Struthio camelus: one gene and its partners. The protein of the gene in region 2 interacts with the protein of the main gene of each other region in a biochemical or structural test. Links are inferred from orthologs where the notes say so. Each region holds a gene or a part of one and is shown on either strand. Other genes may lie near its edges. The genes, in order: RAB5A, OCRL, RAB8A and RAB31.

Evidence for each region.
Region 1: the proteins of OCRL (region 2) and RAB5A form a complex in vitro, tested with the Homo sapiens proteins (2 studies listed by BioGRID and IntAct, with this or other methods). The link is inferred for Struthio camelus from reciprocal best matches to the Homo sapiens genes OCRL and RAB5A.
Region 3: the proteins of OCRL (region 2) and RAB8A form a complex in vitro, tested with the Homo sapiens proteins (2 studies listed by BioGRID and IntAct, with this or other methods). The link is inferred for Struthio camelus from reciprocal best matches to the Homo sapiens genes OCRL and RAB8A.
Region 4: the proteins of OCRL (region 2) and RAB31 form a complex in vitro, tested with the Homo sapiens proteins (2 studies listed by BioGRID and IntAct, with this or other methods). The link is inferred for Struthio camelus from reciprocal best matches to the Homo sapiens genes OCRL and RAB31.

What each region holds. Positions count from the first base shown.
Region 1 is NC_090943.1:42,634,821-42,642,748, reverse strand, and holds the start of RAB5A (ras-related protein Rab-5A), read right to left. Parts: upstream 3,170-7,928; 5' UTR 2,913-3,169; intron 2,811-2,912; exon of another isoform or gene 2,527-2,810; intron 1,654-2,526; exon of another isoform or gene 1,496-1,653; intron 1,165-1,495; 5' UTR 1,092-1,164; intron 1-1,091. UniProt on the Homo sapiens protein: The small GTPases Rab are key regulators of intracellular membrane trafficking, from the formation of transport vesicles to their fusion with membranes.
Region 2 is NC_090952.1:1,884,825-1,893,001, reverse strand, and holds the start of OCRL (inositol polyphosphate 5-phosphatase OCRL), read left to right. Parts: upstream 1-5,102; 5' UTR 5,103-5,139; coding exon 5,140-5,336; intron 5,337-5,531; exon of another isoform or gene 5,532-5,549; intron 5,550-5,610; exon of another isoform or gene 5,611-5,625; coding exon of another isoform or gene 5,626-5,678; intron 5,679-6,322; coding exon 6,323-6,402; intron 6,403-7,232; coding exon 7,233-7,271; intron 7,272-7,984; coding exon 7,985-8,095; intron 8,096-8,170; coding exon 8,171-8,177. Other genes in the region: ERCC6L (DNA excision repair protein ERCC-6-like), read right to left, coding at 1-1,813, 2,080-2,120. UniProt on the Homo sapiens protein: Catalyzes the hydrolysis of the 5-position phosphate of phosphatidylinositol 4,5-bisphosphate (PtdIns(4,5)P2) and phosphatidylinositol-3,4,5-bisphosphate (PtdIns(3,4,5)P3), with the greatest catalytic activity towards PtdIns(4,5)P2.
Region 3 is NC_090967.1:5,168,248-5,175,826, reverse strand, and holds the start of RAB8A (ras-related protein Rab-8A), read right to left. Parts: upstream 3,206-7,579; 5' UTR 3,126-3,205; coding exon 3,002-3,125; intron 2,516-3,001; coding exon 2,455-2,515; intron 2,197-2,454; coding exon 2,136-2,196; intron 1,726-2,135; coding exon 1,648-1,725; intron 1,177-1,647; coding exon 1,087-1,176; intron 1-1,086. Other genes in the region: TPM4 (tropomyosin alpha-4 chain), read right to left, coding at 3,893-3,975, 5,347-5,416, 5,505-5,567, 6,220-6,295, 6,976-7,046, 7,405-7,522. UniProt on the Homo sapiens protein: The small GTPases Rab are key regulators of intracellular membrane trafficking, from the formation of transport vesicles to their fusion with membranes.
Region 4 is NC_090943.1:116,163,415-116,170,841, forward strand, and holds the start of RAB31 (ras-related protein Rab-31), read right to left. Parts: upstream 3,225-7,427; 5' UTR 3,079-3,224; coding exon 3,040-3,078; intron 1-3,039. UniProt on the Homo sapiens protein: The small GTPases Rab are key regulators of intracellular membrane trafficking, from the formation of transport vesicles to their fusion with membranes.

The DNA of each region.
Region 1 (7,928 bases), on a different chromosome or scaffold from region 2:
CATACGTATAGAAATGACACAAAATCAAAATAAAATAAGTAAGAAAATCTTTCATGGAGTATTAGGCGAGAACTATCATATACTAGTAGGTAAAGGCCATTTTGCATTCTTGGTCACTACAACAATAACACGAAGGGTCCTTCTGCCAAGTAGGAATCTTCACTCTTTTGAGTAACCCCCCGGCATGTTAGCAGGTCCATGCGCAAATATCAGAACAAAGTTTAAGGCATATTATTAGGAAAGTACCCCTGTTAATCCTATCAAGTAATTTACAAGATGCTGGGCTTATTCTCTTCTCATCATCCCTTTAGAAAAGGGACTTTTACGCTGCTAGATAGTATTTGTAAAGTCTTATTCGTAAGAGAAAGTTTTCATAACTATTTTAATAGAACATCACGTGAATTTTCCCATGCTGGAGGCTGAAAATAATTTCCATCTCACGACTCAATGGGATAAGTCACAAATCTGATCTATTCAGTCATGTAAGTGTTCAAATTAGTGCCTATTTGAAACTGCAAGAAAGCTAATATACAAGAATCAAAATATTAATAGTGACTATATAGCCTACCAATGGGATTAAGCCTACAATGAATGAACTCTGTATTGTCAAATACAAAGACCACACGAGAAGTTCATGATAGTAAGTTTTAAATTGGAATACAGCACCACTTAAAATATTTTAGTACTTCATAGTTAATGACAAAGGTTTTTTTTTTTTTTTTTACCATGAACATACTTGTTTAATATTGTAATAATTTCTACAAACTTTGTCATACTTTGTGACCAGAAACAGAAATAAAAAATTCAGATCAATTAAAAAAACCCAAAACCCAAAAAACACCCCACCAGACTCTAAATAGCTTCTCAATTCAGGGATGAAGCATTTTAGACACAAATACGCTTTCAAGTTTCAGATTACTGGAAAATTGTAACTCATAAATGACTGCCTCTGGCTGACCGTATTTGAAATTCAGTGTTGATAGTGTCGAAAACAGTCATACAACACTGAAGTTATAGCCACTACCTACTTCAAGTTTATTTATACTGAATGATCCTGAACAATTTAAATAGGAATATCTAAATAAACTTACGTGGTAGGCACTCCTAACTGGCCAATTTTTTGTTATTCCCTTCTCAGGTTGACCAAATTAGTGTGGCATTGTCCTGTAGTATTCAAGATAGTGACAGGTACAACTATCAGAACATTTGTCATATGCAAGTCAGTTTATATTGAAACATAATGAGACAGTATGTTAAGCACATGAATCAACAGTACAGGAAATTCACAGCCTTCCAATTAAAGATAATAGCTATCTCGTAAGTTCATATGAATGATGTATATTATGCACTGCTTTGAGATAAACTAGTTTATCATATCAGAAAGACAGGTAATGATGACTGTATAATTACTGTCTCTAACCACCTCATTTCAGTTAACATTCATGTTGTCTTGACATTTCGTTCCATAAGGTAAAAATATGCACGAGTAAATTACCCTTACTGCAACTCTAGGAACTCACTGCCAAATGGGGGGTGGGGAATCAAGTATGTTATGCTTTTTACTTGCTCCGAGTGTTACTTGGACCGAGCTGATTAATTTCAGTGTTACTGTTCAGTCTCTCTTTTCCATTCCCAGGCTGAGAAAAGGTAAAGCTAAAAAAGGTACAAAGGTAAAAGGTTTAAAAAAAAGAGAGAAGGAAAAAAAAAGGAAAATGCTGAGGGACTAATTTTGTCTGTCATAGACCTATTGTTTTGAACACCATTTTGATAATTTTTGGTTACCCTACTCTCCTCTAAAGGATAAGAGAGCATTGATTTGTCTCTTCACCATACTATAGCTTTATTCCTCGTCCCAACCAAGTCTTATGTAGAACCATATATAAACTAGGCCTGTATTGGGGGAGGGGGGTAAGGAGCAGGGGTCCTGCCATCCCTGATCCAAGATTCCCTGAATGGCGATGTGTGGCCAGTGTATTTTCCTTCCCACCTTCTTCAGCGTCCCTTTCCAGGTCACAGGCAAAAGAAAGGAACCCGTCACCCATCCACCCCTTTCCTTTCGCTCAGGTAACTCGAAAGATACACCCCTTCCCCTGCAGGAGGGCCAGGCAGCGGTAACTCACCGCAGCAGAGGCCGCAGGCAGGGAGGATCCCCACTCCCCCCCTTCTCAACGGGATCCCCAGCCCAGCTCCTCCAATGCCCGCCGCCGCCTTCCCTCCCCCGCCGCTTCCTTCCAGCCGCAGGCAGGGGAATAAGGGGAAGTGGGAGAACCGGGAGCGCCATTTTGAGACGGGAAAAGCCAGACCGGCCTCCCCCCTCCGCCCGCCGGGCTGCCCACCGCGGCAGCCCACGCCGCGGCCCAACGCTCCCGCACCGCCCGGAGGCGGCGCGCACGCAGGCGGCCGCCGGCAGCTGCGGCGGAGGAAGCAGAGGGCTAGGAGCGACGGCCCGTACCCCGGGGGCCGCGCCGGCCCCGCCGCCCCGCCAGCGGGCCCCCCGCCCCGCGAGCCCCGCCGCCGCCTCCTCACCTGGCCGGGCCGCGGCGGCCGCGCGCGGGAGGGGGAAGGGAGGGGAGCCGGGCGGCGGCGGCGTCTCTCTCTGTCTCTCCGGCAGGGCGGGAGGACGAGCCAGGCCCGGGGAGGGAAGGGGAGGCTCGGGGGCTCGGGGCGGGGGCGCTGCCGTGCCTCGCCCGCGCCGCCGCCAGCTTCCGCCGCCTCCTCGGCCCGGACCAAAACACACACGCACTTCCGCCGCGGCCGCCGCCGCGGCCACGTCACGGCCCGCACGCGGCATGCGCTTCCGGTTCGCCCGCGCGTCACGTGGCCGCTCCCGCCCTCCCCTGCGTTTCGTTTCCTCCCGCCGCCCCTTTCGTTTTCCGTCCCGTTCTCCCCCCGCCCCGCGTCTGGGCCGTTACCGGGGCAACGCCGCGGGGCTGCGACCGCCCGCGCGGGGCCCCCCGCCACGGCCGCCGCGTGCCAGCCCGCGCGGGGGCCCACGGGAGAGGCGCGAGGAGGGCTCCCCTCTGCCCCGCCAACGGCCGGTGCCTCGGCAGCGACGCGGCGGTTGTGGCGCTTTCTCCACCCCACCGGCCTCGCTGAGGGCGGCCCCGGCGCCTGCCCGAGCGGGGCCGTGGTGGCGGCCGCCGCGAGCAGCGACACCCAGGCGCCGTGTCGTCCTCGTCCTCCCGGAGGTGGAGCCCAGGGAGGTGATCGCCCCCTCCTCCCCCCTTGCTGCGCTCAAATAAGGCGTCGTTTTCCCCAAGTAAATACGTTTGTGTTTAGTGGTCGGGCAAGGCGTGAGGGAGCCGTTAGTGGCTGAACGAAGAGGGCTTGTCAGGCGTGGCGGAAGTTGGGCCCTCGATTTGCAGGGAATGGCTTACGTCCTGCTCTTGTAAGTCTGAGGGAAAGAGTCTCTTGAGAACAGCTAGGCTTCCTGAATGCCTCTCTGCGAGAAACAGCAAGCACAGTGCAGCATGATGTGGCCACTGAGGTGCCAGGGCTGTGAACTGGATTCCCTGCAAACTCCCAGTTGGGTGCTTTAAAAGGACCAAAGCCCTAAGCCAAATGAGTTGAGGGAAGGAAGTACATAGAAAAAATCCCGAATACAATTGGACAGCTGCTTAACATTTTTCTTTAATAAATGAAGTTTATGGGATGAAGTTTTGGGATACGATCAATACTGGGAGAGTGCTAAAACTGAAGAGAATAGGTTACCAATGGAGAAGTGTCTTTATTGCTGGATAGGTAGATGCAAATAGTACGTCTCAATACATGCAAATATTGGATCATACATCTCATGCTGGAGATGGCAGTACATGTATGACTTTTGTTCTGTATTGCTGGTGTATTGTGAGAAGCGTGCTGTAATCCTGCCTGCCTTTTTGATCTCTGTAACTGAGGAAGGATGTTGAAAAGTGAGAGAGAATTCAGAAAAGGCTTATATGAATGATAAGAAGAATGGAAAACTTCCCTCACTGTGAAAGATAAAAAGAGCCCAATCTACTGATCCCATGAAAGAGAAGAGTAAGGGACACTTGGTCACAGATTATAAACAGGTTCCATAGGAAATGAAACAGGTATAATAAGTGTTTCCCTAATCTTGCAGGTTTAATAAGGTGTAACGGTTGGCATTTAGAGCAAGCCAAAGCAGAACTGGAAAGAAGTTTAGTAACTTTATCAGTTATGGTATTTAATCATTGGTACAATTTAATAAAGATTGTTTAGACTCTCAATCACAGAAAATGTTAAATCAGGATTGTATGTTGCTGTCCTCTCAAAATATGCTTTTGTTCAACCACATATTAAGTTGGAGCAAAAATTAAATTAGGAAAAGCCTATGGCCCGGGTTATATTGGAGCTAAAGGCCCATTATGGTAGTGGTTCATTATCACCTTAAAATATAGAACTTTAATGTTAGTTGTCCAGTTAGTCTTTCTGTCCGTGCAGGATTCTTCTGCTGTTGTTGCTGCTACTTTAGAAGTATGCTGAAAACAGAAAGCTTAAATTAATCATGTCGCAGCCTTTTATTATCTCTGCTCTTTAGTGCTGCCTTAAAAACACCTAACTGCTTGTAAAATACTGTGGCTGATGGGACTGTAGTCTGAGAAGGAAATAAACAAATCTCATTTTGCTGTGTTTGTTTCCTCCTTTTGTCTTTTTGTCCCTTCCCTGGTATGGGCATATCAATATTTTTGAAGTTACTCAAGTGCAAAAATAAACTTTTATTTTCATTTTCCACTCTCCTTTTCCTTGTGCGTTAGTTGAATGATTGCATCCTGATAGTAAAAATTTCATCACGCTCCTTCACTGCCTTAAGTAAAACCTAAGCTTTTTGTAAGGCCAGTGTATAAGAACAACAAGAAAAAGAAAAATAGAGATTCTGAGTCCACCAGTGATATAAAATGCTAGACTCCCCACTTTTATTACAAAGAACTTCCTCCAAGGAAATGTGTTTGAAAGCATGCAAGGTTTCTGAGCCTGAAGTTTATGGTTAGGACTGCCTTTAGAATCTCTATCACAGGTCCTGTTTAAATGATGCAATCCTAACTTAATGCACTGTTTTCACACTAACCTTCTGACTTTTCAGTAAATTCCGCTGGACTGCAGGATTTGCTGATCAAAACATCAGAACCCTGATAAACAGAGACATTTTTCACCATTTACGTAAACAGTTTTGGATGGAAAAAATGTGAATTTTACACTGTGACTCTTTAGGACAGGTTGAACTCAAATTCAGTTTGGAGATCAAGTGCTCATGTGGTGTTTGACATTTCACTTAATCCAATCAAATGAAGAGGTACCCCTCGAAAGTGTGGTCCTAGTTCCTTTCCGTTCCCAGCTGCAAGCTTGTACCTCATGGGAGCCTGTGGCTACAGAACGAGTTGGATCAACCACTGATTTCATGGAAAAATAATTCGCCAAATTAAATAATTTTCTCCTGTATCAGTTGGCTGAGCCAACTCATCTGTGGCTGCAGGCTGACTAGATCTGATGCAGATGAGAGCAAACGAATATGAGTTTAGAGAAGAAAAAGAGCTAAGGACCATTTATTTGGCAGTAACCTATCAACATGGCATTAGGGTGTGGAATCTGAAACCACACAGTTTACACACTTTGGAAAGGAAGAAGTAGAAGAGGAATGGGCAAAAATATAAAACAAAATGTAGCACTGTTCAGAGAAGAACCACAATGCAGCATGTAAAAGGATCAGATGTTCTTTTAATATAAACAGTATAAATGCTTTCTAAATTCAGAATAATCTTGCACATTAGTAAATGCATCTGAGGTTTAAGGCTGAATGGATTTTTTGATGCAGGAATTACATTCATATGATATAATTATACTAATAGAAGAAAAGAGGGGAGAAAGGGATAACGAATCTTTTACTTTTCCATGATGAGAGGTTAGAGAATTTTTCTTTTCAAGCCTACTCTTTGAGTGGACTTGAGATAAGTTGCAGTACGTTTCTGTGCTGAAACTGCTAGGATGAATGCAAATCTCATACTCTTTTTGTCTGTAACTATATAGACACTCCATGCATTGGATCATGTGGTGGATGCACCCTGAGACATCAGATCGTTTATCAGTAGAGGTATGAGGTATGTGCTGCTAGAAAGTGTGTGTATATAACAAGCGTAAGTTTTCTGCTGGGTAATTAATTTCCTAACTGCAATGCAGGACTGGAGAGCATGAGGCCGTAATCAAACGAGTTGAATTTCATTCACAGTATTTTGGAATTGACAAGTCCAGGAACACTAGCAGTGAAGATGAGTTTCTTGTGTTGTAGCCTAGGCAAATAACCATTAAGAAAAAAGTCTGAAGTCACCAGGACAGCCATTCCAGGGATCATATTTTCATATGTTATATAATCTTGGGTCACACATCATTGTTAAAATAGCAGGAGTAAAATTTTGCTTTGGATGACATTAACAAAAAAATTTTGATGTTACTGGGTCATAACTTCACCAAATGAATTTCCATCTATTTCAGCATTTCTCCCAAGAGTTTAATAGCATGTTCTGTTCGATCTTTCTGTGTTAAAGTCTAGCCCCTAGATGTATTATAATAAATGGAAGTTGGCTTTGGGGGATGTGCAGAATCTCTTTATCCTGTTTGAATTTTCTTCTTAGTTTTACCTCCCTAATTTCTTTCATGTGTCCATCTGTTCTAATTTCATCCTTTCTGTCTTTCTCCTATCTCTATTTGTGTATGTTTTCTTTAAATATCCTTTGGTTTTGTCATATCATAATACATAGAGTGTGTGCAGCACACAAAGAACAACCATTTTCTATCCTTAAATAAGTAAGTTGAATACAAAACCTGAAAGTAACCAAGCAATGACAACACCAAAGCCTATCAGCAGGGCTAATGTTGTTCAGGAGTTTCATAACACTTGCAGCATTTTATGTCAAATTCTCTTCAGAGGCTTTGAGGAATTTACAAACTCACTGAGTGCTTTGACTGCTGTCTATAACCATCCTCCTAGTCAGAATGAGAACTGTGTTGCTGAACATGGAATTTTTGTGCTTCATAAAGAAAGTGAAATGCAGGATTTTAGGCAGTTTCCATTCCTCAGTTTTAGCCTGTGAAAAACAGAAAAAGGCACTATCTTGTGGCAATGGGGCTTCAGCAGACAGTAGTAACTTTCAGATGACAAACACTGTTTAGCTACAAAGTACTGCTGTAAAAAGAATTTTTTTTTAACCTTTTCACAAAACAGTTCTCTGGAATTCCATAGGAGATGACAAATTCATGCCGAAGTCAATTTGATTCCAGAAGGGCTTGATCTTTGTTCCAAAATGGAGTTTAACTTTTGTTATTTCATTAGCTAATATAAATAAAACTATGCTTTGAGTCATTTTACTGATCCTTATATATTGGAGAAATACAGCATTATTGAGGATCAAAATAAACTAGATTTTATTTTATTTAGTTTGGTATCTTACAATCATGTGACACTAATTTATAGAATTAATAAAAAATTCTATTGTTTTTCCTTGCCTGGATGAAGCAAAAGCCAAGAGTTAAAAATAAATACATCTTGGAATCCTATTAACAATATTCTTCCTTTATTTAAATGTCTGGTAGTTCTTATTTAAATCCTTCTGTAGTGAATATGGTAACTGTTTGGTTTAATTACTGCATAAATTTGCTAGTGCATTGATGACCATAAAATAGCATCACTCACCCATAACTTATGGTCTGATATCAAAGATCGGTGAATATAAAACTTGATAATCCTTTCTTTAAAATGTACAGATCATATCCTTCATGCCCTACAGATATTCTTCCTACACACCAACTAACTTTCAATCTAATAAAGAACTAATATAACACTGATTCCTAAAATAAGCAAAAAGGAGGCAGCTTTTTCATTCATCTATATGAAATAACTTTGAGTTCAGATTTTGTATCTGCTCTGTGGATTTAAG
Region 2 (8,177 bases):
AAAATATCTAAATGGGTTCTTTTTGTCACCAGTAGTCTGTCTTATTAATGAGTCCTTGAATACTTGTCGCCTATATATTTTCTCTTCCACGGTGCCACAGGTAATCAGTCTATAAATTACTACATTCTCTTTCTGCCCAATCCTATAAGCTCTGTCCACAGCCTGGGCATCTGTAGCTGGATTCCAGCTGGGATCAAAGATCACCACTCGGCTAGCTGCGGTTAAGGTTATACCAACGCCGCCGACTTGCGTGGTGAGCAAGAAGACAGAGTAGTCTTTGTCATTCTGAAATGCACTAATGCGCTTCTCTCGTTCTGTTAAGTGGGTTACTGTTCCATCAATACGCATGATCTTAAATTGTCTGCGCGATAAAACATGCTCTATGATATCTAGCATCTTCCTCGACTGCGAGAATACCAGAGTTCTGTGTCCCTCATCTCGCAGCCTTTCTAGAAGTCCTACAAGGAACAGCATTTTCCCAGACTCCTGAATCACAGTCTCTTCAGACAGATGATCTATTTTGTTAGCTCCTGCAAGTATACCTGTTTCACTCCTGTAATCCTGCTCAGAGTATTCATGTCCTTCTAAGCCCAGCTGGATACATGCTCTTGCGGACAGAAGCCTGGGGTGGTCACACAGCTTCTTCAAGACAGTCAACTCAGCTAGAGGTGAGCGGGTAGTCATCAGCACTTCTTTCAAATGATCCAGAGAGAGAAAGTTCCTGTAGATTTCCTCTTGTATTGGTGCTAAATACACCCACACAACAAAGTCATTTTTCCTAGTAAGAGACGGCATGACAGGAGCACTATTTTCACTTGGATCCTCAGGAAGAGGAGCATCCAGTTTGTCAGCATTGCAGTTTTTTTTGATATCTTCTTTAGTTCTTCTGAGGAAATACGGCTTTATAATGGTCATTAGATTCTCAGATATCTTAAGGCCCAGTGCTTTCTCTCCCAGAGTTGCATCCTTCTCCCTTGCCCTCGTAATAGGGTTCTCATATTCCATTTTAAATGTTTTGGCTGTTCCTAGGAGAGAGCCTTGGCATGCAAAGTCAAACAAGGACCACATTTCCCGTAGGTTGTTTTGCACTGGGGTACCCGTGAGGAGGAGGCGATGTTTAGCAGGAATAGCATACACACATTTTGTCGTTTTGTTTGATGGACACTTGATTTTATGCGCTTCATCAAGAATGATGTAGTCCCAGATAAACTCCTCTTCATGGCTGCTGGCAAGCTGCTTCCAGTTGTTAATAAGCATCTGGTAGCTTGTGATAACAATGCCATTCTTCCTCTGGACCCTCTCCAGGTTCCTGGTGCGCTCTGCCTTGCTGGTGCCGTGGAACTCCTTGACGCGCAGGCCAGGGGTCCAGCGAGCAAACTCTGCCAGCCAGCTGCTGACCAGCGTGGTGGGCATGATGAGCAGGACATGCTGGACAAGGTCAGCATCAAACATGCCTGAGAGGAAGGCGATGATCTGGATGGTCTTGCCCAGGCCCATGTCATCAGCCAGGATGCCACCGGGCCTGCCCTCCCGGTGCAGGCGGTACAGAAAAGCAACACCTTCCCGCTGGTGCTGGAAGAGCTTCCCGTGCATCTCCCCGTAGAGCAGCAGTCCGCTGCCGCACACGTCCACGAAGCCTTCCTCCTCCTCCCCATCCTCCTCCGCCGCTGCCGCCTCGGCCAGCGCCGCCTCCACGCGCCGCATGCGGCCACTCAGCTTCTCGCTGGGGCGGATCGCGGCCGCCAGCCGGAACAACCGCAGCGCCTCCTCCAGGTCCCCGCCGCCCGCCGCCGCCTTCGCCCCGCTCACCAGCCTGCGGGAAGCGCCATGGGCACCGCGCGGAGCCCGCCGCCGCCCGCGGAGCCCGCCGCCGCCCCCGGGGCCCCGGCCCCTTCCCCAGCCCCGCTCGCCCCCGGCACCAAGTGCCACCAGGCCCCGCCGCCCCCGCGGCCGCGGCCTCCTCCTCGCCTCCCCCCGGCCCCGCCCAGCTCGACCCCGGCACCAAGCGGCACCGGGCCCCGCCACCGCCGCCCTGGACACCCGCACAGAGCGCGACCGGCCGGCCGCGCCGCGCCTCACCTCCGGTACCGCTCCTCCTGCCCAGGCTCCAGCTCCGCCATGGCGCGCGCGCCCCGCCGCTGCCGCCCCGCGCTTCAAACGCCGGCCCTTCCCGTCCTGCCCCGCGCTCCCTTCCCCCCCCCCCACCCCGCATGCAAATGAACGGCCGCGCAGCCAGTCAGCGTCCGGGGGCGGGGCTGCGGCCGGCCGAGTCCCGCAGCCACCACGTGGTTTTGGGGGGGCGGGGCCGGGGCCAGAGGACGGGGGCTGGCGGGGCCGGGGCCGGGGCCGGTCTCGGGCTGCGCTGTCCTGGTGCTGGGCTCAACAGGGGCTGGGCCACGGTGGGACTGGGCTGCACTGGGTCAGTTCCCCCCGCTCCTGGCAGTATCGGGCTCCTAGGGCAAGGCCCGGCTGCACAGACCCCCGGTGCACAAGGCTCTGAAGCTTCCTGCTCTCCTTTCCTCCTGCCTTTCCTGGGAGCAATGGTGGGGACAAGGGAGTAGCATTTCCCATGCGCTTTTTCTGTACAGTGGGAGATGTTGCCATGTTACTCCAGGAGCACTGGCCCCATGGGGGCTGAATGGTCTTGCTGGACCCTATGGAGGGGGGTCCAGCAGAGTGCACTGAGTCCAGCACAGGCCAGGCGAGCCAGGGAGCTGCAGCTCTGCTCCCGGCTCTTCAACTGCATCTGAAGCTGCTGCTGAACTCAGAGCACACCAAAGCAGTGTTTCCTTTTCCATGGGGTGCTCAGAGAGCAAGTGGGACAGGCAGCAGTGCCCCCACCATGTAGGTGCTCTGCAGCCAGGAGACAGCACTCATGGCTTGGAAGGGTAAGAGATGCTGGCCTGGAGTTAGAGTCCTCAGCATGGGACCAGTCATGCAGTGTGGACTGCTGGAAAGCAGCGCTTCTCTGAAGGCCCTGGCCTAGGCTTTGGTTCCCTGCAGCCACTCAGTGCCGCTCATCACTTGCCCTCTGTGCCCAGATCTGCCGGAGGCCCAGTGCCCACAGCCTGGCACCCTCGCTGGGCCATGCACCTGGGAGGAGGGGGTGCCTCCTGAGCACCAACACCAGCACCCTTTCCACTCTTATCTCTGCAGGCAGCTCTGGCAGCCACATAGGTGTTTCCATTTGAATACAAGCCAGCTCCCTTTCATTTGCAACCCCGGCCCTTGCTTTTTAGTCCCATATGGAGGTAGACTATGGACGATGGAACTGGCTTAGGCTCTATAAGGGATCTCTAGTTTGTTATAGATGACATATAGGGTGTTTCCAGGAGTCACAGCCAAAACGTGAATCCCGCGGATCGTGATATCCTGGATCAGTTGTCCTATAAGGGAGCATGTGAACCAAGACAGGCTGTTACAGAAAGACTGGGCAGAGGACTAACCACCAGTTAGTTTGTGGCACATGCCCATCTGCGGGGGTCCGGCAGGTTTACACCTTGCTTTGGAAACCCCATGGGAGAAGAGCCAATTGCTATCAATTCCCACTCCAAACAGCAGGACTGCGGGGTTATCAGGCAGTGGGAAAGGAAGGGGGTGTCTTGCCAAAGGCCTTCGTGCCAGCGGTGGGCCATCTGAGCTTGCCCAGCCCTGTGGTGTGTGCAGTGCTAAACGGTGCACATGCTGGCGAGAGGCTCCTGCAGCCCTCGGGGGCTGCTCTGCTGGCCCCCACGTCCTCCCAGCACTCCTCTTTCTTGGTAAGTTTTTTCTCTCCTTCCTGGAGCGACGTGGCCAGAGATGGTTTCCTTCTCGTGAGTCAGACCGAATAAGGCCTCGACTTCCTCCTGTGACAGCCACAGGGGAATGGGCTGGGGGGGGGGGGGGGATTGGCTGTGAGCTTGCCATTCTGGCAGGACAGAGGTCTGGAAGAGGAAATGGTCAGGAGCTCCTGGCCCAGTGTGGTCTGTGGCAGCAGGAGACCTCCAGTTTGTGCTGGGAAGAAGCCTGCCTTCGACGAGGCCTGAGATGGGCTCAGCACGAGCCCCAGCTGTAGATGTATGATGCCGTTGTCCTGTGCTTCAGTTGCCCCAGCAGAGTAGAGCTCTCTGCCGCCTGCTGGCAGCCAGGACAGAGCCGGGGTGAGCCCTGGTGTGCTGTGCATCACCCCAGCCTGCTGGTTTCTGCTTACGCTGAGGCGCTGGGTTGCAAAGTGCCAAGCTCAGGAGCTGCTGGGTAAGTCCATCTGGCTCCCAGGGACGGGCCTGCGCTCAGCCCAGCTCACACGTGCCTGAACTGATGGCCCTCCCGGCTTTGCCTCTTGGAAAGGTAACAACCGCCATTGGCACAGACGTGGCCGTGCAGATCAGAGGGCCCAGGAGGCCGGAGGCCCTCAAGTGCCCCTGCCCGGCTGGCTGTAGGGCCGGACTTGCAGGGCTGGGGTGAGCATCCGGCGCTCTGCCCTTTTTTGGAGACTGCAGCAGCTCCAGCTTCCCACGGGACGCGGCACTGCCGGCCTTCTGCAAAGGGCAAGAAAACGCCCGAGCGATTCAGGTTTACCCCCAGCACCGGTCAGGGAGGTCGCAGGTGGGGGCTCATATCTTTGCGTCAGCTCTCGGGGCGCTCACCCGCCACAGTCAGCGCTGCTGCCAGCGTCCTTAGCCAAACCCTGTTATTGCCGCTGTGCATCCCGGCCACTGTTACTTGCCGCTTTGCCAAGCCGGTTGCCGCTTTGCGCCCTGTCCCTCACGGCAGGGCGGCGGCCGTCGCCTGCGGCTCCAAACGGCACAGACCCGCGTGGCTGCGGAGCTACCGTGATAATTTGCCGGGGGGAGAAGGCGGGGGGGGGGGAAGCCCTTAAAAGGAGCCTTTCTTAGAGGAAGCCCTCTCTTATGCTTGGGTGGTAGCCGCGTTGCCAGCGGGGCCCTGGGTGGGCCGTGAACGAGGCGGGGGAGGTCGCCCGGCCGCCCCAGCGCTGCGCGGGGTCCCCTCGGCTCGAGCCCCGCGCGGCGCGGCGCGCTCCGCCCGCCGCCAGGGGGCGGTGGCGCTCGAGGCCGGCGCCGCTCTGCGCTGCCGCCCCGCTCTCCGCGCCGAGTCGCCGGGAGACGGAGGTCGCCGCGGGCCTGGCCGGGAGGCGCCGCCATGGAGCCGCCGCCCGCCGGGGCCTGGAGCTTCGCCGCAGCTGCCGGGGCCGGCCCGCGGGAAGGGCCCGGACCGGGCCGGGGAGCGGCGGCGGTGGTTTCTTTAGCGGCGGCGCAGAGCGTGGCCGGCCAGGAGGTGCGCGCCGGGCGGCGGGCTGCGTGTGTGCTGAGCCTGGGCCAGCGGCAGGGCCGCCACGAGTGAGTACCGCGCCGCCGGGCCTCCCGCCGCCGCCCTCGGCAGCGGCCCGCCGCCGCGCCGCCCGGGAGCCGGGGCGGAGTCGGCGGGGCCGTGGGGTGGCGCACCTGCCCCGGCCGAGGGGCGGAGGCGGCCCCGGCCGGCCCTGCCGGGGGCGGGGGGCGGGGGGGGGGTCTCGGTTGTTGTGCTTTGAGGAAGAGCCCGAAAGAGCTGAGGTGCGTGACCACCTTTCTGGTGGCGGGGCTCGAGGGAAGGTCCCGTCCCCGGCCGGTGGTATGTCGTTATCTCCGGATGCAGAGAAACCCCCGCTGCGGCTCGTTCTGGCCAAAGATGCGATTTCTTATGTTAGTTGCTCGGCCTGGTTCACTAGTGCTGCTCCTGCGGGGCTTTGGGGGATGCAAATGCTTTATTCTGAGAAAGCTTGCTTCTCTGCATCCTTTTTGGAGCCTCTCAGCTCTCTGAGCCTCTACTGAGCTTGCCTCAGTCCCGGAGGGGGTTGTGCCACTTTGGTTATGTCAGAGACCTTAAAGCTGTGGCGCCTGTATGTTTAGAGAAGCCCTAGGAATAGAGTAGATTCTGACTGTCATGTCTTCTGCTGGAGTTATCTCACTGGCTTTGGAGAAAGTAACCTGCAGGCAGGCAGATGAGAAGTTCTGTTTTCTAGCTGTCAGTTCCCAGTCTGCTCTCTTGCTTCTCTGGGCTTCCCTGAGCAGCTAGAGCTGCTGCCACCCTACAGCTAAAACTGCCCTGTAGCGGTGAAAGTTGAAAAGCGCTCGCGTTCCCACCGCATGCTCTAAATATATTTTCACCCACATCCTGTATGGATCTGAGCTTTTCTCTCTTTCTCTTCTCCTGTTCCAGTAGTATAGCAATAGAAATCATGCGTTGCATTTCTCCATAAATACAGCTCTCATTATAATATTAACATTTTGCTGTGTACAAGCAGGGGGTTCCTTTGGTTTTTCACAAGCCTTCTTTCTGTCTCCAGGATAATTATTCATTCACAAGAGAAAGAGTATGCTGATCCGGATTATATTCCCATCAACAGCCGCTTTAAATGTGTACAAGGTACTGACTGTTACAGTGGGTCCTCTAACCTTGTTGTGGCAGAAATCCACTGCCGTATATCAGCAAGAACGGAGCGAGGTCAGTGTGGTGCTTCTAGACCTGCCTCCTGAGCAGCCATGTAGATTGAAGGCTTCCTTGTGGAACTAACACTTAAGAGTTTTTGGTCTCCTGCTTCTTCCAGATCTGAGTGGGGAGTCTTTCCATCTCAGCATAGAGCTGCGATGAACTTGGCTAGTTTGCATGAATGGTGGGCTTGGCTGACTCAGTGAAGTAGGCATCACACAGAGCCAGTGCCTTCAGCACTTGTCTGTAATGGTTGAAAATTGATGGCTGCTGATAGCTGTCTGTCTTCTCCATAAGACAAGAGTTGGGAGGGATAAAAACACCTTTTTTTGCATAAGTTTATGCCCTCTGTATAATTCATCATAGTTCTGCCCATAATTTTTGCTGTATAGACAAGCTCTGAAGTTCACTGATAGGGTCTTAGGGGAAGAAAATTTTGTTCGTGTATACAGAGGGACTTCTGAGGCAGAAATGTCAGGCTGATGCTTTTCAGAGTAACTTTACAGATGTGGAACAAAACATCCAGATGTATGAGAGCTCTGAGCGTTACAGTTCTGGCCTGTGACACTCTGTTTGTGGAGAATGTCTGTCCAGGCTGACCAAATATGACTGTTCTCTCTGCTGGAGCCATTATTATTGTAGAGATGTAAATTAAAGCTCTTTGCTCCTTTGTCAGGACTAGAAGCAGGCAGTGTGTTTTTTATTGGGTACTGAATTACTCCAGCATTCAGTGTGAACTCTCTTGATCCTATTTTTCTCTCTTCCAGAGGCAGAAGAAACTCTACTGATTGATATAGCAACAAACAGTAAGTTGTATAACCAAGACAGTCACGTGGCTAAAGCTTTCAGCAAACAGGCTGGACGTGGGTCACAGATGTATGCTTTTTCCTCTTTTGTCTGCTATCTCATACTCTTCTTCTATACTTTGTGTTTGTCTTTTGGTTAGGTATGGATTGTATTTTCTGTAATGCTGTGGTCTGGCTCTTTTATGCTTCCTTGTAGGCATTCGGTTGTCATGACAAACATGGTTTAAATGCCTGGATGGAGGAGTTGCCATTTGTTAAACTTTAACTTCTTAAGTATTTCCCTAAGGTCCTGCCCTGCCCTCTGAACCTTTCTCATTTCCCTTCCATCCCTTCCCTTCCATTTGACTTGAACTTGAGTCTAGTTTACTGTCTGCCTTTTTAGATATGTGTTTGACATTACTCTGTCTAGGCACTGCTTCAGCCTCTCCTTTAAAGAAATTTTCTCACTACCTTTAGAACTCTTCTCTCCCCTGCTGCCAGGCAGAAAAGTATTCTTAAAACCATGAAAACATGACCGACGATCCTCCAAATGCGGCAGACTCTTGGAAGCACTGGAAGACTAGCTTAGATGCAACTTTGCATAGGAAAACATAGGTGGATGTTCGCTTCCGTTAATGAGCTTAAAGGATACCTAGTAAGCCTGGTCATTGTGAGGGCATAATGTCTGTGAACCAGACTTGACTGTGTCTCTGTGTCTGTTTTTATGCCTGAAGCAGGTTGCAAGATCCGGATACAAGGTGACAAGACAGCTGAACGGCTCTTTGAAATCCCTGACGAGGAGCGTTGCTTGGGCTTCCTTTCAGAAATACAGAGCATACAGGAAGGTAACCAGACCTAAAGATGAGTTTATGAAATCCTCAGATCACGAGCAGTTTCTGATAGGCCTATTTTTTTTCCAGCCCACTC
Region 3 (7,579 bases), on a different chromosome or scaffold from region 2:
AGACTCATCTTTTCATCAGAATAGGGAAACATATTGCAACTACAGCTTGGGAAACGTTAAATAGTTCCACTGAGAAATACCCTGGAAGAAACAGGGCAACATATAGACAACAATGAATACAATGTTTACATTTTGAAAAGTCTAATTTGAAATAAATTAAAGCAGTGAGGTTTCTGGGGCTGGTGGCGGTGGCATATTCAGTGTATCAGTTCTCAAGCACCTTATAGAAAATGACAATTGCCGCTTTGGAAGTGGAAGTCTGACTTTAGCCTCTGTTACTAAACATGGTAATACAGCTGTTTATAATGTTAAGAGTATGTTATTCTATAGCCAAGTTAACCATTCCTAAACGGTCCCAAACATCAGCAAACTGCAATTTTATAAAACACTCCAGAGGTTTTTGGATTTTCAACTTTTGAAATGAAGATTTTTTTTTTTCTTTAACGATTAAGAGCACAACACTGAACGCTTACAATTAGAGCAAGGGGCTCTAATTTATGATCTCAACTTTTTTTTGTAAGCTTCATTTACGACTGTGGCATTCATAAGAGATCACAGAAGCCAATAACACTTCACAGGTAGTGCACATTATTTTGTTAGGTATAGAAATCAATAACCACTAACTCTGAACCATTTTCTTCACTGGAAGAACAGGTTTTCTACCAGCAGAATAACAGACTGAGCCTACAGTTTTTTCCAGCTGAGGCACACATACATCAAAAGGAATAAAAACTATTTTAACATTCGTACAGAAGATTTCACTGCTGAGACCAAAATAACAAGGATAAAGATTAAATCCAAGAAGGAACACCATCATACTTTAGTGAGCTTTCAGAAGTGGTAGATCAATCTTACTGGCTGGAACTTCAAAATTAGCACTTTAGTCCTCCTAAGGCAGCTATAACATAGACTCCTGCCACAAAAGCAGCAAGTCAGACACACGAGCCACACTTGGCAACCGTCTTGGCAGTAAGTAAGGAACTTTACGGGCTTTAAAGAGACTGAGGGATTTAGGAAGTATTCAGTTCCAAGCACTGACTTCAGCCCCTGGGCAGAGACAGGATGAAGCCAGGCGATGGCACTTACCTTCTCCCCTTGCTCTCTAGAGACTTGTCTTTTGTCATTTGCATCACACTTATTTCCAAGAATCATTTTTTCAACATCTGGGGAGGCATGCTGACATAGAAACAGACAAAAGAAAGTACTTCAGCTTAGTATTTGTCTACAAAAAAACATCAGAAAGGTGAAGCATACATCAAGTACTGAAAACAAAGGTGCTGATGCAAAGAATTTTCCATAGATTTAAGAGTTTCCCCCAAACACCCCATCCCAACAGTTTTCTTCAGACACTCACAGCTCAGGGCCTGCCTGCATAAAGGCAGCTCTTTAGGTCACTTGCGGTGGCAGGAAAACATCTCTCAATCGCTAGAAAGGCTACAGTCCATACAACGTGCTCTCACGTGCAATGAATTACTATGAACCGAGACATTCTAAAAGATATTACCAATTTTCTTGCAATATGTTTTCCACATTTACTCTACAGTACATAAATTAGAAAGAAACATAACAATGCTGAAGCATTTAACTTTTAACTACTTCTAGAATGGGGATAGCATTTTTAATACTGAGTCAATAAACAGAAATTACCTCTTCAATATTCCTGACCCAGTTCCGAATATTTTCAAAAGATTTTTCATTGGTGATGTCATAGACTAGCATAATGCCCTAAAGATAAAAACAAAACACCTTATTTCAGCTAGTGCCAGTTTAAGCAAAAGTTAAAGACTTTTCCATGACAAAGAAACTTAACAAAGACTATTTAAAAAGAAATAGTTCCAAGTTACACATAACATTTAATCACAATTTGTGTCTTATTAGATAAGGTGTACTAAATGTATATTTATACAGTGAGTCACAATGGAAATCTGACTTTGTAGGTCCCCACATTGTCTCAGTACAGCTTCAACACCATTAGCGCTGAGGAACAGGAGTGCAAGTTGTCAAGTGTTTACCCAGCTAGAGTTCATATGCTGAAACACAGGCGGTTACATACGCTCCCCATTAAAACACAGCTGGTTTGATGTTGAAAACTAAGGTGTCTGTTGAACGCTCAGCGTGACCTGCCCCGCTCCTACCATTGCTCCCCGGTAGTACGCTGTCGTGATGGTTCGGAATCGCTCCTGCCCAGCCGTGTCCCTGAAACAGACCAGAACACAGGGGCTCATGCAACCCAGCGAAGCTATTGCGCTGAAATTAGAGCTTTCAGAAACTTTAATTAAATATTTTTAATCAGTTTTTAGAAGCACTGAAACAACAGTTGTGGTTTCTAAGATACTGTAAGCTACTGAAGAGCACAACTAGATTGAAAACGTAATGATAATATCACTACTCCACACCATACTGATGCCGGGTTATAAGAAATTAATTCATGTAACGTTAGAAGAAAAGGCTTACCATATCTGTAGTTTAATTCGCTTGCCGTCTAGCTCTATAGTTCTAATTTTAAAATCAATACCTGAAAAGAGAAGTAACTAAGTTACTCTTAGTTTCTGCTGAAGACCAAGCTAACTTTTCCCCTCTCGTTTCCCTGGTGAGGTTTGCACTGGCAGAACACCCTTCCAGGTAGCTAACGAAGCAAAGCGCGAGGTTTTACAGTCGCTCACGCTAGACAACGGCCTCTGCAGAGCGAAGGAGAGCGATCTGAGCCGCAGCAGCCACAAGCAAAGCGCCTGCCCGGATCCCCGCAGGGCCGGGGGGAGCGAACGAACAGTGAGGCACGTTCGCAACCGGCGCCGAGGCAAGGCCGGCGCAACCGAGCTCCACCGCAACCGCTGAACGAGGCGCTGCGCGCCGAGCCGCTAAAGCCGCCCGAGGCGGCAGCGAAACCGCCCTCCCCGCCGCCGCCGCCGCCGCGCAGCCCCCCAGCGCGCGAGCCGCCGGCACGGGGCAGCGCTGAAGCAGCGGCGACCGGCCCCGGCCCCGGCCCCGGCCCGGCGCGCACCGATGGTGGAGATGAAGGTGGCGTTGAAGGCATCCTCGGAGAAGCGGAAGAGCGCGCAGGTCTTGCCCACGCCCGAGTCGCCGATGAGCAGCAGCTTGAACAGGTAGTCGTACGTCTTCGCCATCTTCCCGGCGCCGCCCCTCCGGCGACCCCCGCCCCCGCGCGCCTCACAGGCCGAGCCCGCCGGCCATCACCGCCCGCCGCGCGCCCATTGGCCGAGCCCAGCGGCGCGTCGCCGCAGGGCCCGCCTCCCCGGCCGCCGAGCAGGAAGAGAACGGAGCCGGCGCCCCATTGGCCGGCGAGCCGCGCTCCGTGTGTAACCGGCCGCGCCATTGGCCGCTCGCCTCGCCGCCCGTGCCCGGCGAGACGCCACTTCCGGCGGCGGACGGAAGTCGCGTGCGGCTAGGTGGCGGTATGACGTTTTGCTGACATCACGCCCAGCCGCTGCGCGCGCGGGGAAGCGCGACGGCGCTACGGACAGAGCAGGGGACACGGCGGGTCGGGGTGAAGCTGTTTAATATGAAAACGTCAGGAACAGTCGCGTTCGCGGGTAATACTGCTGGGATACCACCTACACTGATCCACATAAAAAAGCGGCGGGGCCAGCGCCGAGCCGGCGGAGACGGGGCAGGAGGGTCGCGCGCGGGCTCGTCGCTCGCCTTCCTGCATGCTGCAGTTTAATAAATACAGAGCTGGGTCTCCGCCGCCCCGGCCCTACAGCGGCGCGGCTGCGGCCGCGGTACGCCCAGGGCGCTGACCTGAACGCTTTGGGCACTGCTCATAACTTAATTTTCTTTTTTTTTTTCTAAGATACAGAGAAAGAGAGGAATGAAACGGTAAATACAGATACATGTTTAAGTTTCTGTTGGCGGCTGAGCGTTCTTCTCAATTTCATATACAGTTTAGTTCATTTAACGTCTGATCCAGTGTCTGATGCAACCCCAAATTCTCTTCTTTTGCCTGAGCAAGTTTTTCTAGGGAGAAAGGAGAGAAAACAAGACTTTAAACACACATTTTACTGCCTTTTCTCTTTCAATAAATAACCTCATTACTCACCTTTACTTTTAAGAGAACACTATAATTGCATCAAAGAAATTTGGGACTGATAATTATTTTTGTAATGGCTCTCGTTTAAAGGGTTTCTGGATGGGTCTGATATGTAATGCGACAGACTTGTATTTTAGTTTAACACGCGATGTACAGGACATGTCCTTCAGAGTTTCCATCGTTCTGAGAATTTTAAACCAGGCAGGTGAAACAACACGCAAAGTGAGAGCTAGCTCAAAGCTTTTTCATCTTTGGGAATACGAAAACTGAGGCCTTTGCCAGGCCACCAGGTTCTGTCCCGGCCATCAGGGGTGCCGAGACTGACCAAGCTCTTCAGCGCTGCGCAGGGTGCGCGTGGCCTGTTGCTCCCATGGCTGGTCCTGCACCACGGTCACTGTCCCGCCTGTGCTGACTGTGGGGGCCTGGCCCTGGCATGAGCAGCTAAATGTACTTTCAGTGTCATTACTGATGTATTTTACGTGAATCATGAGGAAAAAAACCCAGAAAGCTTAAAGGTAGAGGTAACTCGTTTTTATTGAAATCAGATCTTACAGAGAAGGCTGAAGGATCGCACTTAGAAGTTGCACAGAAGCGACAGGTCTTACAGGCAAGAAGAGCTTAAGAAATGCAGCGAGTCAAAGCCCCCCAGTAGGTGCAAATTACAGAGAGGTCATATCATTGAGAGCATGATCGAGCTCCTCACTGATAGCTTTGTACTTCAGCTTCTGAGCGTACAGCTCATCTATCAGGCACGAAGGCAGAAGGCAAGTTGCAGCAAGAGATGCAGAAAAGCAGTCCAGAGGAAGAGGCGTATAGCAGAAGATGCGAAGACAGCCAGAATGCAGCGAACCAAGTAATTGAGGGGGGAAGTAGAAGAAGAAAACAGATATGTAGTCAAACATTAGTGTGAAAGCAAAAAAAATATACACAGCTGCCAGGTCAGAAGCTTCATCTACATTTCCCCCCCTCTGCCAAGAATTGTTTTTCAGGCATCAGATTAAATGAGATTATGATTCTTGTTAAGTAGAAAGGCCCCTTTGAGCACACACATTTGTGAGTTGGCTAAAGGCAGGTTATTGGTAGCAACTTTTGAAGAGAACCTCTTTCAGGAAAATTCCCTCTGGGCAGGAAGTACCCGGCTGGACAGACATACGGATCACCAATTGTCTCACGCTGCTCTGGCTATACATCTGATTAATATTTTTGTCCTTTCCCAATAAAATATAATACTTATTCCTAGAATGTTGCTTTCTGAGCTAAAATGAAGACCTGTAAAATCATGATCAGTAATTTCATACCTTCCAGGTCATCAATAGACTTTTCCAGTTTTGCAACTGTTCTCTCCGCAAATTCAGCACGTGTTTCAGCCTAACAAACAAACAAATAAATAAATAGAATAAATGGATGCTGTTAAAAAAAGGCTGCCAAAGCACAGTTTGGGGATGGATAATCTTACTTCTTTAAGCTTGTCAGACAGAAGCTTGATTTCTTCTTCGTATTTATCTTCTTTTTCCGAGTACTGTGAAAACAATAAACACGCTCTTTAAGGGAAGTTGTAGCAGCAATAATGTTTATGAAAAACCTGACCTATTAATAACCACTTTTCCGTTTATGATAGCTGCAAACACCCTTCCCATATTTTTCTCCTCTTCACCAAGACTTCTCAAACTGATTCATATACCATCGTTTTAAGACTGAGGCTGTCCAAAGTTCCTTTACGTATCTATTTTAGTCCTTAACAGGCTTACTTTATTAGGCAGCACAAAAATAGCTGAATGTGCAAGAAATCATCAACTTTTCTATACCAATTAGGGCTAGCTGGAAACAACTGTTTAATGAAAGCAGGAGTTTTAGCAATTTGCCTTATTAAGAAGGCAAGCAACCAATACAAGATTCTTAACAAGATAACAAAATCAAGAACAGTCAGCTGCCTAGTAATGTGGGAAACAGAGTCAAATCCTGATTTGCAGGAAGCAATATTGCAGATAATTACCAGATTACTGAGTATTTTGGTTTTGGGCAGAACTGATACAACGTTATCAATACTCGCTGTTACACAAGCGGTCAAACTAAACCCTTAAATTTTTTTGTACTTCTGGATTATTTCTGTGAATTTTAATGACAAGTTTTGACTTCCCCCCACCATCCCTTAGCTCACTGAAAGAAGCAACCTTTTCAGATTGGGCTTCCAGGGACTTCAGGTTGTTAGTGACATTCTTTAATTCCTCTTCAAGGTCACTACATTTACTACGGGGGAAAAAAAAAGTACAAGTTACCACTGTCACTGTTATGACTTTGTTTAATTTTCAAAAGGTCTAAAAATACAGGTTATTAAGTAAATAAGTCTAAAAGCAGTGAGTTTGTTTATGGGACACCAAAAGCTTTTCCAAGTATCCTACATGGCTGCCTTTTAGCAGTAGATCTGCCTAATGAAATACAACTTTAACCTTACATTGTCGAAGAATAAATGACACTTTTAAAGCTCAGTGTTGCACACTCCTCTGTGTTAAGAAATGTCTTAAAACAGTAAGAAACGTATAGGCTTGCACTGCACTGCAGCTGACTTTCGGTACAAGAGCCATTCTGTTTTGTACCACCTTGGACACTGTAGGAGACCCGATGCTAATGTTAGAAGAGCATGTTTAATAAACCTACAAGTAAGGAAAGTTACTCTTGAAGCTGAAGTATTAGCAACTTCCCCCTCAACATTTTTCATGAAAAAGATCCAAATGGGCCATTATGTTTCTCCATAATGCTGGCAGCCTTTGAAATGAAACTACTAAATGGTTGGACACTGTACTGATACTGTTAAACAAGCGAAACCCCTGAAAAATACCATGGATATTTGTGTTATGAAAACAATCCTCACATAGTAAGGAGAACTTTATTGTACTCTAAACTACACCCATGTATGCGAAACTACTCACACTTCTGACACTTCTGCACGCTCTTCAGCTCTTTCCAGTTCACCTTCCAAAATAACCAGTTTACGAGCAACCTGTAAAGAGAAAATAACTATATCAAGCCAACTGATAACTTGTTATGTCTCCCTCAAAGCGCTATGCCTATGCTTGCCTTCTGACTGATGTAAACTAGAATAAAATATACAGCTCTGCACATACAAGACAGGGACTTTTTCCCAAAAGAACTTTAAATACCTATTAAATACGTAAGATTAAATATGTAAATACGCAAGTGCTATAGTCACTATTAGAATTACACCTTTTGGAAATATTGCAAAGTCAAACCATCACATAGTAGAAAGTATAAAAAGAAGAACTAAACTGAACAGTAACAAAGTTGTTCATAGTTCTCTCATATGTTTTATCATTTCCTTATTAAAGCATCCCTTTCACCTCTTCATATTTGCGGTCAGCTTCTTCAGCAATATGCTTAGCCTCCTTCAGTTGCATCTCCTGAATCTCCATTTTTTCTTCGTCTTTCATTGCTCTGTTCTCAATAACCTTCATTCCTCTGCAGAAGTCAAAACAAATATGTTTAACACAGAAGCTTTTTATCACTTTATCTCAA
Region 4 (7,427 bases), on a different chromosome or scaffold from region 2:
GAGGCGCTGAACAATTAGCCAGGCATCCTGTTCCTACCGGCCCACCAGCAAGCTGGAACCATCTCTCCTCAAAGAACATCACCTTCCCAAATTCATGAACAAAGCTCCATGACCAACAAAGCCTAGCTCCCAAACTGACTCATGCGTAGGCTTGAGTTGCCCCAAAATTCCCCCTCATCATTCTCTTGCTTCTTTCACAAAACTTACAAACCTCATGTCTATCCCCTTGTTGTGCACTACTCGAGGCTGCTCCAAATTTCTCTCAAGTTACTTCTGAGGAGGAAAAAGTGAAACGTGGATGCCCAAATCCCAGTTTTGATAGATTTATGTTCAGAACTATGGGCCAGGTTCTCTCTTCTGCTACAGCATGACCTGGGCAATGCGTGGGAGACAACCAAGAGCCAATAACTTATTCTCCATCTCTATCGCAATGGCTCCGGGCCAAGTGCTGGCCCTGAAGTACTAGACTAGTTTATAAGAGCTGTTTTATGGGTTAGTAGAAAAGTGGCAGCATGGAGCACAGCTCTGGTTTCTCCATTCCCCTCTCTCCTCACCCTCCCAATGAGACCTTGTACAGCTGAGCAAGGCTCCGGGGCTTGTGGAGAAGGTGGCTTTGCCAGTGTTACGCCAGCTGCAAATTCTTCCCCACTAGGGAATTCTGAGCTGGTAGAAACAGACACGTTCCAGGCCCTTTGCACAGCTGAGGGCTGTAGATTGTCAGGGGAACTGATACAGAACGGAACTGTGATCCTCCTAACTGATTTAGGGATGCAATCTAAGGCTCTGTTGAGAAGAGAAGAGATACATAGGTTAGAATCCAATTTAATGCTTCCTGTCCGACAAGGAATTCATCTCAGGACTTGGGCGTGTCAGACTTTACTGATTACTAGGGGAACTATTAGACACAATACAGATTAACTTGCCCTGTTGCACAGATCTAGGGAACTATGTCCAGGACCTACTGAAAAGATAAGTATTAAGATTCCTTTGGATAGATCTGAAAACATATTTTAGGGTTGCCATGTAACTTCTAGGCAGATCAGAAGATTAATGGTTGCACTTGTTCACACAGAGAGGTACACAGTTGCCCTGTTTTGGAAAGCTGAAGCTTACAAGTGATTTGTCTATTATGGACCCTGCCGTTTTGGGAAAACAGAACGCCAGCCTCCATGGTAGGATGTCTATGATCACAAGTAGACGGTTCTCCAGGATTATAGCCTATTAAAACTCAGGAAGGAACGGCTTCTCACCAACTACAGACACTTGTATCTTCCTAAATGTTTCCACTGCCACCCTATCATTTTAAAGAATCTACTGAGTAATGGCATACTCCAAGTAACACAGAGCTGCTTTCTGGGCTTCTCTTCCTGTCTTAAAACAAGTAAACAATTCCCCTGCAAAACCTCCAGTACTTTTCAATGTTACAAAACAGCAATAAATTATGGGCAAGAGGAATGTCATTCCACAAGACATTTCATCTCTAGAACATTACGGGATTTTCTCCTTGGGGAAAAAAATAAAGGCGCATCCACATACTCTACCACAGACTCCTCAGGTTTGTTTAAACCACATTTATTTTGTCTCTGTGCCATTTTAAAAGCTGAAGGCAGGAATTCTTACTGAGAAAGGATGAACGTTCATTGCCAAATACTTCGGGTTGAACTCTTCAGTGTCCTGGCACCACGTCCTGGCTCTTACTCCAGGGCAAAGTACCCACTCCTGCTGGGGTAAGTGTCAGCACACAGCACAGGGAACTGGAGTGTCTATATTTGTTTGGTTTTTAAATCTGCAATCCAGTTATACTCCATGAGTGAGAATTTACTCTAGAACACCTTCAATCACACAGCTTTTCTGAAACTTAATGGCAATATGGGCCTAAAAGCTGTGTAACTTATGCCTGGTCTATTTGATACATTTGATAAATGGCATGCCCTGCTAGTAACTATCAAAAGATCTGGATCTGTATGGGGCTCTCCTAGCAGTACTTGTAACAATTCCATGAGCACATTTTGATGTGAAGTTCCCTCTGAGCAGGGCAAAGACGGGGGCAGGCGGAGCCAAACTGCAAAGCTAAGCACATTGTTGCTCCAGATGTTAAACGCACATAACGATTACACCCAAAAAGGGAAAGAACAAAAATAATGAGCTCGCTGAACCAAGCTTTAACGAACGCAGGCAAGTAACCAAACCAAGCACACAGCAGATAACTTGAGGCGTATGAGAGAAGACAGGAGGAATCATCTCTTCGCACAGACACGGAGTTATGATTGCTGCTTTCCCTTCTTTTCCATCTCCCACCACGCCAGCCTTGGTTCAGCTAAGCCGGCAGGACAAGTGACAGAAACTTCAAGTCTCCCGCAAAGAGGAGGCGGGAGTGAGAAGATCGAAAAACCCTTCGGGGCTCCGACACGGGAGGGAGGCGGCCCGCTGGGGGCGGGGGGGAGGGCGGCAGGCTCGGCCGCGGCTCCCCCCGACGCTACCATCTCCCCGCTCCCCGCGGCGTGCGCGCCCGCGGGGAGACGGCGACCCAGCCCGTCCTGCAAAAGTTCCCCCCCCCCAAAAAAAAAACCCCACCCCCAAAAACTACAAAGCAAAACAAGCAAACAAAGACACCCAAACCCTCACACCCACCCCGCTGCCGGAGGCCGGCGCGCTGCCTCTGCCAAGTCTCGGCGCGGAGGAATTCACCGCGGCGACGGGCGGCCCCGGCCCCGACCCCGGGCCGCCGCCGTCAGCCCCGACGCCGGCGGGGCAGAGCCGCGGGCCGGGCAGGCGCTGCGCCCGGCGGAAGGGAGAGGCGGGCGCCTCCGTGGGGAAGCGCGGTGGGGCGCGGAGCCGCTTCCTCTTTCCAGCGCGGCGCCCCCCCCCCCGCCTCCCCTTCTCCCGCAGCCCTTCACCGCGGAGGGATGGGGGTAGAGGAGGCAGAGGAAAGGGGAAGCCTCCCGGCCCGGCGCCGCCATCCGCCGCAAGCAGGGCGGCCCCGCCGCGGCGGGGAACGGGGCGCGACCCTCCGCGGCCCCTTCCCCGCCCGCTACTCACTCCAAGCAGACACACTTTCAGCTCGCGTATCGCCATCATCTGCGTGGGGCCGAGCCGCTCCGCATCCCCCGCCGCGCCGCGCCTCTCCGCTCCGCACTGCCCCGCCGGGGCCGCCCCCGGAGCCCGAGCCCGAGCCCGAGCCGCCGCCGGTCACATGCGCGCGGCCGCCGCCGCGGCCCCGCCTCGCCGCCGCGCTTCCCGCCCGCCAGCGGCCCGCGGGCGGTTCCCGGCGGGGCGCGCGCGCGAGGGCCGCGCGGCGGCCGTTGGGCTCGCGGCGGCCGTTGGGCGCGCGGCTCCCGCCCGCCCGCCCGCTCACTCGTTGAAGTGACACGAAGGTGGCACCAGGCCGGGGCGCCGCGTGGCTGCGGCCCCGGGTGGGTTTGGTCAGCCACGCTGGGGCCCCGGGGTGAAGGAAGGTTGGTGGGTTCAGGTGGCTTCTTGGCATCAGGAGTGAAGGGGCTCATTCCCGAGTGGGTCAGGGAGCGGCCCCCCAGCTCTGAACCGCCCCTTAAAACGGGGCAGCCGAGCCGGTTGGTGACCGGGGAGGTACGGTGTAAATACCTGCCGCTGTGAGAAAAATAATTGGTGAGGTCCGCACCCGGCATGGGACTACACGTCTGCTTAGTCCTACACACCAAGTGCTGGTCGAGATGTGGGATCTGAACTGTTTCGCTTGTGAACAATCTGAATCGATCTTAACTTTTTTTTTTTTTTGACTTTATATGTGCAGTAAGCATTTCTGTACCTAAAAGAGTAACTCTGCTTTTATGCAATCCCGGTACGAAATAGCTGCATTTAATTAAAATATCCACTCTAGGGTTGACAATAGGGCTGTATCCCACACATAAAGAAATCTGGTAAATAGTGCATTACCACTAACTTCAGGACCTGTCCACTGAAATCAGTGAGAGGGATTATAAACCGCTCCAGCTTTTCTCTGCTCTCTGTAGCCAGAGTCCTAGCGTTTATGGAGAACGGTTGCATGTTATAATCTTGAAAAAGCAGAAAAGAAGAGTCTGTCATGTATTTTAAGTCCATCCATTCTACTCATGGTTGGTTTTGGTTTTTTTTTTTTTGGCTAATTTATCATTTTAAACAGGTAGAATTGCTAAAGGATGATTACGGCAAACGTGATTAGTCATTATGAAATTACTGCCACGTCACAGGAGCTTCCTGACAATAAACTCTTGTGGCGTTCATTATGTCATTAATTAGTTCCACATTATGTCCTACGCTCACATTGACAGGCCAGAGGAGAACGCGTGCACTCTTCCAACTCTCCCCAACCCTAGGCCAAGGAAATGCTTGGAACAGAGCAGTTCCTATCCCCAAGGAGGAAAACACAAAAGCATTTTTAGTGGAGCGTCACAGCTTGTCAGAAGAGAGTATCAGAAGATAGAGATAAAAGGAGAGGCTCATCAGAGAGATGCTTGGCATTTAATTAAGTGGGGTTTTTTGGAGAATTTAGAGAAACAACAATCACAGGTTTCCAATATTCTGCAATATTGGCAGAATATTGCTAGAATTCTGTCTTCTCATTGTCTTTCCACAAGAATGGATTATACAATAAAGTCTTTCAATAAGCAAAGAGGATACACTCACTAACATGGGACAATTACAGCCTTGCAGTCATAACACAACTAATTCAAAGCAACTCCAAATTTTAGCCGGGAATTACTTCTACAGTGGACAGGAGGTGCAAAGTTTTAAGGCTTTACACTATCCAATTCCATCTTCTCTTTCATTTTTAAGGCTGAGTTAAATGTTGTTCCTGTGACCTTGATTCAAACTTTTCCAGTGTTGAAGGACTACGATTCACAGCCGGTATTACAGTTCAGGATCATCTTTTGCATAAATTAATTATTGATTTTTTTAAAAAACATTTCTATGTCCTTCAAATATCCCTTTGGTTCTCTAATCTCACCTTTTCTTTGCTCCAGATTTTGCAATTTTGAACTTTAGGAATTTTTGCTTGTTGTATAGAAATGAAATGCTATACCAAGTGAACTAATTTCAGTAAGAAACGCTTGAATGCTGTTATGCTAGGCTGAGGATTACAAGAAGAGACTGATAGAGGAGCGCTGTGTTCAAAGCTGCTCAGTGTCACAAGTACAGCTGGAGGGTTTGTCTGTAGCTGCACTCAGATTAAGCTACAATGATGTAATGGTGCTTTATTCCTAAATGGTATCCATACATACAGCAGCTTAATGTACTTCATTATATGTTGCATTGACTTTACAGCCTTAGTTGAGGGGCCTTAACTTTCCCATGCATCTCCATGCACAAACACGCAATAAAAGTTCCGATTCTGGAAAGCACTTGCTTAAGCCTGTCCATTTTCAAGATAGTGTCACATCCCACTAACTTCAACGCACGTCAGGACGTGCTGAATTGCTGTCTTGATTCAGTACCAGCGTAATACAAAATAATGCCTGAGAAATCTGTCGAGGAAAGCAAGTCATATTTCACATTTCCATATTTCTTCTTATCTGTGGAAACTTTTCCTAAAATATGCATGATGAAACAGCAGTCATCACTAAAAGCACTGCAAGTACATACCTCAGAAGCTTACTTCTGAAGACAGCAGATCCTCAAGCAGCTAGTTACAAGCAATCAAATTGCTTAGAACAGTAACATGAAGGTGACCCAGTGTAAACTGCTCAGGCTTGAACAGCAGGAGGGCTAGTATCAAGAAAGGGCAATTTTACTTGTACAGACAAAAAGTCTGATGGGCTGGAAGGAAAAACACCAGAAGGAAAAATAACTCGTTGTACTGGCCTAAAACAGAGAGGCCCTAAAAAAACCCACAAAAATTAGAAAAAAGTGAGAAAAACAATACAAACAGACATATGCTCAAGTATTTTAAAAAAAGCTAATGACGTTCCTTCTTCCAGGAATTGGCATAATCCTTGTATTTGTCTGCATGCAAGAAGCTGTGGTCAGGAAAACATTTTTGAGGAATTTGTCATGTTTCAGTGTTTTCACATGTCTGGTTAAAAGCAAATGAAAACAACCCTTTGCATCCTAAAGGTTTTCTTTTTTTCCTTTTATAGCAACTGAATTAATAAATATAAGTTTTGAAACGACGTCTCACCTCACCTCTTTTTACCCTGTATTTCGCTTTTGGGTATTTCCAAGCAGTTCCACTTTTCAGTAGCAGTCCCTCAGGACTTTCAAGTAATTCACTCTCTCCTCAGAAATCATTTGCTTCAGTTTTCAAAAACTGCAGGAACCAAATCATCCTTTAGTTTATTCTAATTTTATAAGAGTGCAGCTTCACCAATTTCAAACTTCAAAATAAGAGTGATTACTCCTAATCTACCCTTAGTGTGAGAGATTTAGGTCCTCAGAGTCGGGCTTCAGCCACCAAGATGTGATCTGGTCAAGGTGTTCTGACTATGATATTTGGAAAGTTTATTCAGGCCTGTCTCCATCATGAAATTCAAAGTAGTCCTACTTGCCATGGGAGAATAGCATTGAGGAATCCTTCACTTTGATTTCCTGTTCTGGAAAACCTGCTGGAGCAGGACTATCCTCTCACTCACCCTAGGTCTGTAAGTGTAACACTGCTGATTTCCTTTGAATAGGCCCAGCAAACTGCACTAGAAAGGAAGGAAAACAGCCTTCTGGTTAGAGGCACAAGACCAGGAGGCACAAGATCAGGAAAACTGATGCCTCCAACATGGCCTTGCTATGTAACCTCAGGCTAGGTACTTTACTAAGCTCTGTCTCACCATGTGGTTTTGCAACAGTTTCTGGAAATTGAAGCTGGGGCTGCTGCCATCCCGTCCTTTGTCCCTAGCCACATGTTCCTGCCCCTCTGGGGCTCGTGTTGGCAGAAAATGTAATCCTACATTAAAAAGTTTCCTACGCCCTCTGTCTCTTCCTCTCTGAAAGAAGTGTAACGGTATTTATCTAGCCCATATGGTAGGCAAATGGGATACTTGTGAGGTGCTGGCGGGGTTCCCAGGCTTAGGAAGCATCTGCCTTCTTCCACCTGCTTTCTCTCTTTGGTGAGCGACATACGCCGAGCTAGATCCCGTCATGACCCTGGTGTGTGCTCAGCTCCCCAAACTGCTGCTGTCTGCCCCAAGTACCTGATGAGTTACTTCCTTTCTCTCACTGCTGCTTTCCCTCTGGATTTCTTGGCAAGCATCTTCCTCGCACAAAAATGTTATCCCTCCTCCTCAGCTCAGCCCAGGCCCTCCTACTGCGGGCCGCCAGCCATCCCAGTTCTTATTCCCAATGTACGGAAGGAGGCAAGTTAACCCCTCGCTGCCGGCAGAGAAACATGCGTGTGCCTCCCTCAAGGACATGAACGTGCAGCACAGTCATGACTGCTACGACAGAAATTTCACTGGGGTCTGCCCAAGGAACTGCCAAAATCT